2 linked regions of the Coturnix japonica genome follow. The protein of the gene in region 1 binds, or shares a complex with, the protein of each later gene. Links are inferred from orthologs where the notes say so. Each region holds a gene or a part of one and is shown on either strand. Other genes may lie near its edges.

Region 1 (4,105 bases):
CGGTTTCGCCGAGTCCCGCCCACCTCCTCGTAGCTCGCTGCTGATTGGCTCCGAGGCGGGACGGGAAGAGCAACGCCGCCTCCCATTGGACGAGCCACTCGTGGCAGGTGAAAGACGCGCTGCGATTGGTCCGAGGGTGGCATCAACTCTGATCGCTGCATCTCGGTTGGGATGAAGTTCGGAGCTCAGTGACCTCGAGATCAGGCATTTCCAAGCGGGACAAGAGTTCGGCCCGTTGTCTGTTAAATCATTGTCTGTCAGATCATTGTCTGTCAGCCCATTGCCGGCCCATTGTCGGCCCATTTTCGGCCCATTGTCAGCCCATTGCCGGCCCACTGTTGCTCCTCCACCATCACCCCCAACACCTTATTCCGAACCCTCTGATCCCCCACAACGGCTCCTCTTGTCCCAAAGAGAGCCGTGACAGCCAGAGAAGCTCTTAAGGACATCGAAGGGGAACGTGCTGGTGCCCTCTGTTAACATGTGATGCTCTCTGTTAAGGTATTGATGTCTTCTGTTAAGGTATTGATGCTCTCTGTCAGCCTTTAGTCCAGTTCTGCCCGCTGTGTGGATCCCATCTCACGGGCTCCACCAAATCAGTGCAGTTTTCCTGTTGTTCGTGTTTCTTTTCATAGAATCATAGAATTTCCCAGGTTGGAAAAGACCTCGAAGATCATCACGTCCAACCTCCGCCTAATCATAGCACCATAACTAACAACCCTCTGCTAAATCATATCCCTGAGCACCACATCCAAACGGCTCTTAAACACATCCAGGGATGGCGATTCAACCACCTCTCTGTTTAGCCTATTCCAGTGCTTAACTACCCTTTCTATGAAGAAGTTCTTCCTAACATCCAACCTAAACTTGCCCTGGCACAACTTGAGGCCATTTCCCCTCATCCCGTCACTTGTTGCTAGTGAGAAGAGACCAGCCCCACTCTCACTGTAAGCACCTTTCAGATACTGGAAGAGGGTGATAATGTCTCCCCTCAACCTTCTTTTCCCCAGCACAAACAGCCCCATCTCCCTCAGCCTCTGCTCATAGGGCTGATTCTCCAAGCCCTTCCCCAGCCCTGCTGCCCTTCTCAGGACCTTCTCCAGCACCTCCATGTCCTTTTTGTACTGAGGTGCCCAAAACTGAACACAGCACTCGAGGTGAGGCCTCACCAATGCTGAATACAGGGCAGGATGACTTCCCTGGTCCTGCTCACCATTCCTGGTACAAGCCAGGATGCCATTGGCCCTTTTGGCTCATATTCAGCCCACTGTCCATCAGCACAACAAGGTCCCTTTCCATCAGGCAGCTTTCCAGCCACAACACCTCAACCCTGTAGGGCTGCCAGGGGTTGTTATGACCAAAATGCAGGACCCGACATTGGTCCTATTGAAACTCGTGCCGTTAACCTTGGCCCATCCAGTTCCCTCTGCAGTGGATACAGCAGCACACGCTGATAAGGACACGTTATCACACGTTGTGTGCCCGTTCCTCCCGTCCGGGCTGTGTGGGCAGCGCTGAGCAGCGATAACATCCCAAGGACGGAGCAGCGCAGGGGAGGGACGGGGCGGCAGCGCAGCCCCATAACGGCGGAGCTCCGTTCCGTTCTATTCCATTCCGGTCCGTTCTGTTCCGGTCCGTTCCGCAGCTCCAGCCTCACACAGCCCCTCCTGCCGGGCCCGACCCGCTCCGCTTTCCTCGGTCCCGGTCTCGGTCTCGGTCTCGTTCTCGGTCTCGGTCCCGGTCTCGGTCTCGGTCCCGGTCCCGGTTCCGGTCCCGGGGCGGAGCTCAGCACTACAAGTCCCGGCGTCCCCCCGTTGCGCGCTGATTGGCTGCGGGACAGACTTGAATGGGGCGCGTGGCGGGGCTGGAGCTCAGTTAGAGGCGGCGGCGGCGGGGACGGAGTGAGTCCGAACCGGGGGGAGCGGGGGGTTTGGGTACCTATAGGGGGGGTGGGGGGAGAGGAGGGATGGGGGAGAAGGGATGGAGGAGCCTGCGGGGCCCTGGGGGCTGGGAACGAGGAGTTGGAGGGAGCGGGTGCGGGGGGAGTTTAAGGAGGCCCCGGGGTGGGGGTGGGGGGGGCAGTGGGAGTCTGGGGCGTTAGGATAAGGGTGGTGTAAGAGTGGGGCTGGGTGTGGGGCTGCGGTCAATGAAACGGGGAGCTGATGGCACAGAGGGGGCTTCAGTCCTTGGGGAGGCTGAGGATTGGGAATGGGGGGGATTGGCGAACCTTGGGGGGGAGAGAAGAGCCTGCTGGGTGGATTGATGTGGGGGGGATGGATGTGTGCCCTAAGGAATGGCTTTTGGAGGAGAGAGGGGGGTCTGATACCTGAGGGCCGCTGGGGGGCTGTGGGGTGGTGGAGAGGGGGGGTGGGAGAGAGGAGAGAACGGGGCTCAGGGGGTCCCTGAGCACTGAGAGGGCAGCCCTTGAGTGGTGGGAAATGGGAGTTCAGGCTGGGGGGGTTTCACGCAGTGGGACATCTCTGCCCCCCCCTTCCTTCTCACCTCACTCCCCCATCTCTGTCTCCCCAGTGCTGCCATGAAACGCCTCAAAGGTGCCAACTTCGTGTCCCGCACCGCCAGCCTGGAGAGCACAGAGGAGCTGCTGACTGAGCTGCTGGTGAGCTGAGGGGGGTTGGGGGGGTCCCACCTCTTTGCTGAGCGACCCCTGATTGCACACTCGTTCCCTCTTTCTGCTCCCCTACAGCAATGCCTCTCCAGCAGCACAGCAGTGCAGGGCAGTGCACAGAGCACAGTGTGCGACCGCATCCTGCGGGCCTGCGTGCAGCGCGTGGGGGAGCCCAGCTGCGACCTCACACACACCAACGCAGTGATGGCCTTGGCCGAGGCAGCCTGCAGGGGCTTTGTCTGCAGCAGCACTGCCCCGCCGACCCCTCTGTACCTGGAGAAGATCCTCTTCCACCTGCTGAAGAACATGGCTGCCCGTGGCTATCGTGACGCCTGCAGGAGGGCAGCGGAACTCATCCTCGCTCAGCTCCGCGCTCACCAGCAGCACCACGCGCCGTCACCCAACTTCAGTGCTATTGCCCACAGCTGCTTCTCCACGCTGTGGGGCACCAAGGGGACGCTGCGGGACCGCCTGCAGGCCCTGCGCTTCGTGCTGCTGCTGGAGGATGAGGAGGGGGCCGCGCTGCCCCTGGTGCCGCCCTTCTTCACCTCGCAGGTTGCCCGGCAGCTGGTGGCTGTGGCCTCCACTCTCTCCAAAGCCTCCCAGGCTCCGTCCTTGTCTTGCCTTGGCCGGGAGCTGCAGGGTGTCCTGACCTCCCTCCGTGAGGACATGGCGCGGCCGCCCTCTCTGCCGCAGGCCCTTTGCTTGTTGGAGCTGCTGTTGGAGCAGTGCCGGCAGCTCTGCAGGGGAGGCTGCTATGGGGAGGCGGAGGCGGCTGTGAGAGATGCACGAGGATTCCTGGGGGGCTCCAAGGTGTGCAGCGAGGCCCTGGCCCTGCTGGAGGCTGGCGTGCAGCTGAGCCGGGTGCTGGCCCAGAAGGTGGGCTCAGCAGGGCCGGCCCTGGCGCAGGCAGCGGCAGCGCTGGGTGGTGCAGGGAAGGTCTCGGGGCGCATCCTCAGGGTGCTGGCTGAGGGCTGCCAACTTGTCACCATGTCCCTCAGTGAACGTGCCAGGAGCAGCCAGCAGCAGCCGCTGCCTCCGGAGGATGTGCTGCAGCTCTGTGCCTTCGTGGAAGGGCACTGCCGTGTCCTTGGCCTGCTGCTGGCCATGGTAAGGCTTTGGGGGTTAATGAGAGCTCTCCTGTTAATTAGGAGCGCTGGAGGCCTTGTAGCCCTGCCAGCAGTGTCCCGCTTCCCAATGGTCATGCTGCTGTTGTGGCCTCGCAGTTGACTTTCTCCTTCCTCCTTCAGGTTCCTCCTGATGGCACAAAGCAGCGGCTTGTGCTGAAGCAGCTGCTGCACCGCAGCCTCCAGCTCTTCACCAGCTTTGCCTGCGATACCTTCCGCTCCTCCCAGGTACTGCTGGTGATGGGGGCAGCATCCAATGGGGCTCACAGAAGCTCCTGGAGCTGCCCCAGAGATGTGCCCTCAGTCCCTGCAGGGCTCTCCATGGGACCCCCATCCCTCTGACTGCATCCCT
Region 2 (4,220 bases), on another chromosome or scaffold:
CTTTCTTGTAGTGAGGGCCCCCATATTCCAGCTTTCATTAAGCACCTCAAACCAACTTTTATCCACTGTGGTAACAGCAGGCAACTATGAATAATGCCACCTCTAAACCTCACTTGTTTTCCATGATTACTGAAAAGAACTAGAACAATAACAGTGCTAAGAAATTGAATCTATACTTGTGACTTGAAGATTCATATATTAATATCTGGATACAGTTCAGAACACTGAATTATAGATGAGCTTTTAAGCAAGACTAAGTTTTGTTTTAATAGCCTGTCAGATAGTAAAATGCCTACATCTTGGGTGTGCAGCATATTAGCTCTACTGAAAGAAAAAGCAAGGTAAGTTTTATTTCACAAGTTAAAGTAACCTTTATTTATAAACATAAAATTCAACAGAAACTTCAGAGTATGCTTTTTAGAAGTCATAGTCCATAGGCGGCATATCAATGACGTAATCCAGCGTAGAGATGAAGTCAGCAGGTGGTTCTAGCAAGTCTGAAAGTTAGAAATAGAGGAGATCAATTACTCATAAAATCCAGAAGTTTACACTCCAGCTGGCTGCTGGTGGATTAGCATAAGCCTCTTGAATGGCTATGATGAGTTAGAAATATATTACAGAAAGTTACATGGCAGTGCAGCTTCGAGACCACTACCCATGCCAGTAGAGATGACCAGTTAAATTCAGCTCAGTTACATACAGAGTGCTCTTTGAGATAAGCATCCTGCTCTTGCACTTACAAGAGCAATAGTTGTTCACTACTGCAACAAACTCACTTCCTTCCTAAATCACTAATATGCGCTGAACCTCAGGCTAATTTTCCACTTACCAGACTCCCATGGCATCTTTTCAAGCTTTATAGGTGAAGAAGCTAGGTCCACAGGTTTGTCATAAGTACTTGGGAATATCATGAGAGGAACACCACGCAGCTTGATATCACTTAGTTTATCCTCTTCAGTAACATCAAAACTCTCAAAGTCTGTTTAGGAAAGACACGCTGTAGTTTAGTAACAGCGCACAATAGCATGTGAAGCTGCAAGTTGTCCTTGATTAAGTGAAATGGGAGTAGTTCCAGGACAACTCAGTCCAACAGTTCCTTCTTATGGAGTGCTTAGTTACAGTTACTTATTAGTGTCCATGCAATTTTGTATGCTAATGCTTATCTGAAGTGTATGTAACAGTCATTATAAAGCAAGAGTTTTAAGGAATTTTTCTAATCCCTATGCTGTGTCAACTATATCAAGCAATACGTATATTTAAAACACTCAAACAAGAACAAGGTCATGCTTCCAAAATATTGAATGCCCTTATGTTTAAGAAAGGACTCTGGAGAAATGTAATACCAGCTTAGTCACCACAACAGCTCAGTGGAAGTCTTGCAGCATCAACACTTAATCAAAGTCCAATTAGGTTTTAATAATTACCCCAAGAGTTCTTACCTTGAGGATCAAAAGGAAACATGTTTTCTATTTCTGGGTAAGCTTCATCACCCCCTCCATCCCAGCTTGCTAATCCAACAGCCTTTTCAGCAACCTTAAAATGAAGAAGTCAAGTTATTTGTGCTGTCGTGTTTTCTCAGTGTAGTACCCTTTCTGTGCCTGTAAACCTGGATTTTAACACCTTTGATACAAATAAGCTGCAAAAGGGAAAATGCTTCAGTTGAACTTGTATGATGGTACACAGTGGCAACAAATCTCTGCAGTATGATATTTAGGCTCATAACAATAAACTCCCACTAAATAGAATATGAACAAGACAGTAACACAGCCAATATTTTGTCTAGAGTTACTTCATTGCCCTTGTGTGTTCCCTAAGCTGTTGTAGGTACATCATGCATTCCTCTGATTCCCATCCATTACAGAAGGGTTGTACTCACTTTCTTTGCACTGCAAGGCTGATTTTTATCTTTCTTCTGTTCCTTCTTGCTTGTAACTCCTACAGTTCTGTTCACATTTCCAAGAGCCTTTCTGACAGAGTGAGATGTGGCTGGAGTTCTGATTGCTTTTTTTAGAAGTGGAGTATTGACTTGTGTTCTTTCTGATAAGGCTTTTGCTGCAGACAGGAAAGGAAAGCAAGCTTTAGCACCTTGTCAACCCTAAAGCTTGCTTCTAATGAAGTGTGTGTGCTAGAAAGCTAATTGTTGTTCTCCACTTCTAGATCAAAAGTATAAGCTCAAAAGACAGGTGATTTTCATATTTGTAATAGCTGATAAACTTAGTTTTACTATTTATCTGCTTAACCCATTTTGTTGTTCCTGTTCAAAACAGTGATTAACAAAACCCAGGACACGCACTTTACTCCATCCCACGCTGTCTCCATGGAGCATATACTCACATGATACCGAAGGGCGTCTTAACTGGTTCTTAGTAGCACCAACTTCACCATCCTCCTTATCCACAAAGATCAGCGTCGTCATCTCTGGGCTGATGAGACCACCCTGGAAAGGCAGACAGAAGATCTTGGCAGTTCTTGCTAATAGAAACAGCAAGTTTTTGATGTATGCTAGGAATGATGATGGCAGCTTGGACTGAGCACAGGGCCAGTATTAGATATGGCGGTTGATAACACGGCACCGTGCACTGGGCGGCCAAGCAACGCCTCGCAGGCCCGCCCTTCTTTAGGGCAGAAGGATCGCTCAACAGGCCAGAAAGAAAACATGGAGGAAAAACAGCACACTTACCTGCGGGAAAAGCCGATTTGGGAGCAGCAGAGCGAGGAGAAGAGCAGGGATAGCGATAAGCACAACCAGCCTCTACACCCGCCCCGCTGCTCCCATAGGCCGCTTTCGATTAACGCTCAGCCGCCCCATTGGTGACTACCGAGTTCCGGCTCCTCGTTGCCCTGGCAGTCAAGGGGCGGGGTCTCGGTGCGGCCTAGTTGGTAAACAGGGAGTGGAGGTGCGGGACCGGGTGGGCTTTGCTGGGGTGTTGGGTGGTCGTTGTGCCCGGTATGGCTGGGTGGAGGCTCTGGGCTATGAGGGGTAACCGGGGGGAGGCTCGTGGGATCGGTTCGGTTCGGAACGCGTGCGGTTTTTTAGTGTTTTAGGAGGAAGTAAAATGGCGTCTGGGACGGCGGTAAACGCGGCTCCTTCGGGAGGGCCGGGAGATGTGAGTATGGAGGAGCCGAAGAAGATGACGAGGGAGGATTGGAGGAAAAAGAAGGAGCTGGAGGAGCAGAGGAAGCTGGGGAACGCGCCTGCTGAGGTGGATGAGGAAGGAAAGTAAGTTCTGTAACACAGCTCGGTTTGTAAAGTAGGCTTATGTGGTTACAGAGTTGTGAAGCTGAGCTTAACATGAGGTTAATTAAGCTAAATTGTGCGGTGGTTTTTCCTGTGCCGTGTATTAATTTCATATCTCCTTTTACAGAGATATCAACCCTCACATTCCTCAGTACATATCTTCGGTCCCGTGGTACATAGATCCTTCCAAAAGACCTACGCTAAAGCATCAGAGGCCTCAGCCAGAGAAGCAGAAGCAGTACAGCTCCTCAGGAGACTGGTACAAACGGGGAGTGAAAGAGGTATGGGGATGCTTTTGTCCTAAAACAAAGCTTTTAATTATTCCTATGCAATAAGATATAAGTCAGTGACACCCTGCAAGATCTGGTTATATGCTTTGGAGGGTGACAGGAACTGGAAATTTGTACACAGCAAGCAGATGAGGAGAGGCTGAAGGAGCTGGGTATGTTCAGCCTGGAGAAGAGGAGGCTCAGGGGGGACCTCATTGCTCTCCATAACTTCCTGAGTTATGTTGGGAGGTTGTAGTGAGCTGGGGGTCGGCCTCTTCTCTCGTGTCATTAGTGATAGGACCAGAGGGAATAGTTTCAAGCTACAGCAGGGGAGATTCAGGCTGGACATTTGGAAGTATTACTTCTCAGGAAGGGTGGTCAGGCACTGGAATGCACTGCCCAGGGAGGTGGTGGAATCACCGACCCTGGGAGTGTTCAAGGGAAGATGTTGTGTTGAGGGACATGGTTTAGTGGGAGCTATTAGTAATAGGTGAACGGTTGGACTGGATGATCTTTTAGGTCTTTTCCAACCTTGGTGATACTATGATTCTATGATTCATTACCCAGTGTTTGGTAGTCACCTAAATGGCCTTTTGAGTTTGGTTGGAGCATGTGTGCTTTAGTTGTGTTAGAAAAGTAAATAAGTCAGCTGGGAGAAATACACAGATGAATCTTAGCATGTGTTTGTTTAATGTTTAACGCTGTCTTCTTTT

Evidence for each region. Proteins that work in one complex are often made in the same cells at the same time.
Region 2: the proteins of ESPL1 (region 1) and PTTG1 are in contact, whole or in part, in a cryo-EM structure (PDB 7NJ1), measured with the Homo sapiens proteins. The link is inferred for Coturnix japonica from reciprocal best matches to the Homo sapiens genes ESPL1 and PTTG1. Residues at the interface, in NP_036423.4 of Homo sapiens: His402, Thr405, Val406, Tyr409, Ser461, Asn462, Tyr465, Tyr468, Arg505, Arg508, Glu512, Glu544, Thr547, Phe548, Arg551, Gln590, Lys593, Ala594, Val595, Arg596, Thr599, Gly600, Arg603, Gln634, Cys637, Tyr638, Trp683, Ile686, Glu690, Ile697; in NP_001269311.1 of Homo sapiens: Tyr111, Pro112, Glu113, Ile114, Glu115, Lys116, Phe117, Phe118, Pro119, Phe120, Asn121, Pro122, Leu123, Phe125, Glu126, Ser127, Phe128, Asp129, Leu130, Pro131, Glu132, Glu133, His134, Gln135, Ile136, Ala137, His138, Leu139, Pro140, Leu141.

Annotation. Positions count from the first base shown.
Region 1 is NW_015439867.1:541,804-545,908, reverse strand, and holds the start of ESPL1 (separin), read left to right. Parts: upstream 1-1,305; 5' UTR 1,306-1,901; intron 1,902-2,529; 5' UTR 2,530-2,536; coding exon 2,537-2,617; intron 2,618-2,704; coding exon 2,705-3,736; intron 3,737-3,876; coding exon 3,877-3,981; intron 3,982-4,105. UniProt on the Homo sapiens protein: Caspase-like protease, which plays a central role in the chromosome segregation by cleaving the SCC1/RAD21 subunit of the cohesin complex at the onset of anaphase. During most of the cell cycle, it is inactivated by different mechanisms.
Region 2 is NC_029528.1:9,901,552-9,905,771, forward strand, and holds PTTG1 (securin), read right to left. Parts: upstream 2,801-4,220; 5' UTR 2,681-2,800; intron 2,438-2,680; 5' UTR 2,417-2,437; coding exon 2,335-2,416; intron 2,053-2,334; coding exon 1,877-2,052; intron 1,534-1,876; coding exon 1,440-1,533; intron 980-1,439; coding exon 830-979; intron 498-829; coding exon 418-497; 3' UTR 347-417; downstream 1-346. Other genes in the region: pre-mRNA-splicing factor SLU7, read left to right, coding at 3,057-3,220, 3,366-3,519. UniProt on the Homo sapiens protein: Regulatory protein, which plays a central role in chromosome stability, in the p53/TP53 pathway, and DNA repair. Probably acts by blocking the action of key proteins.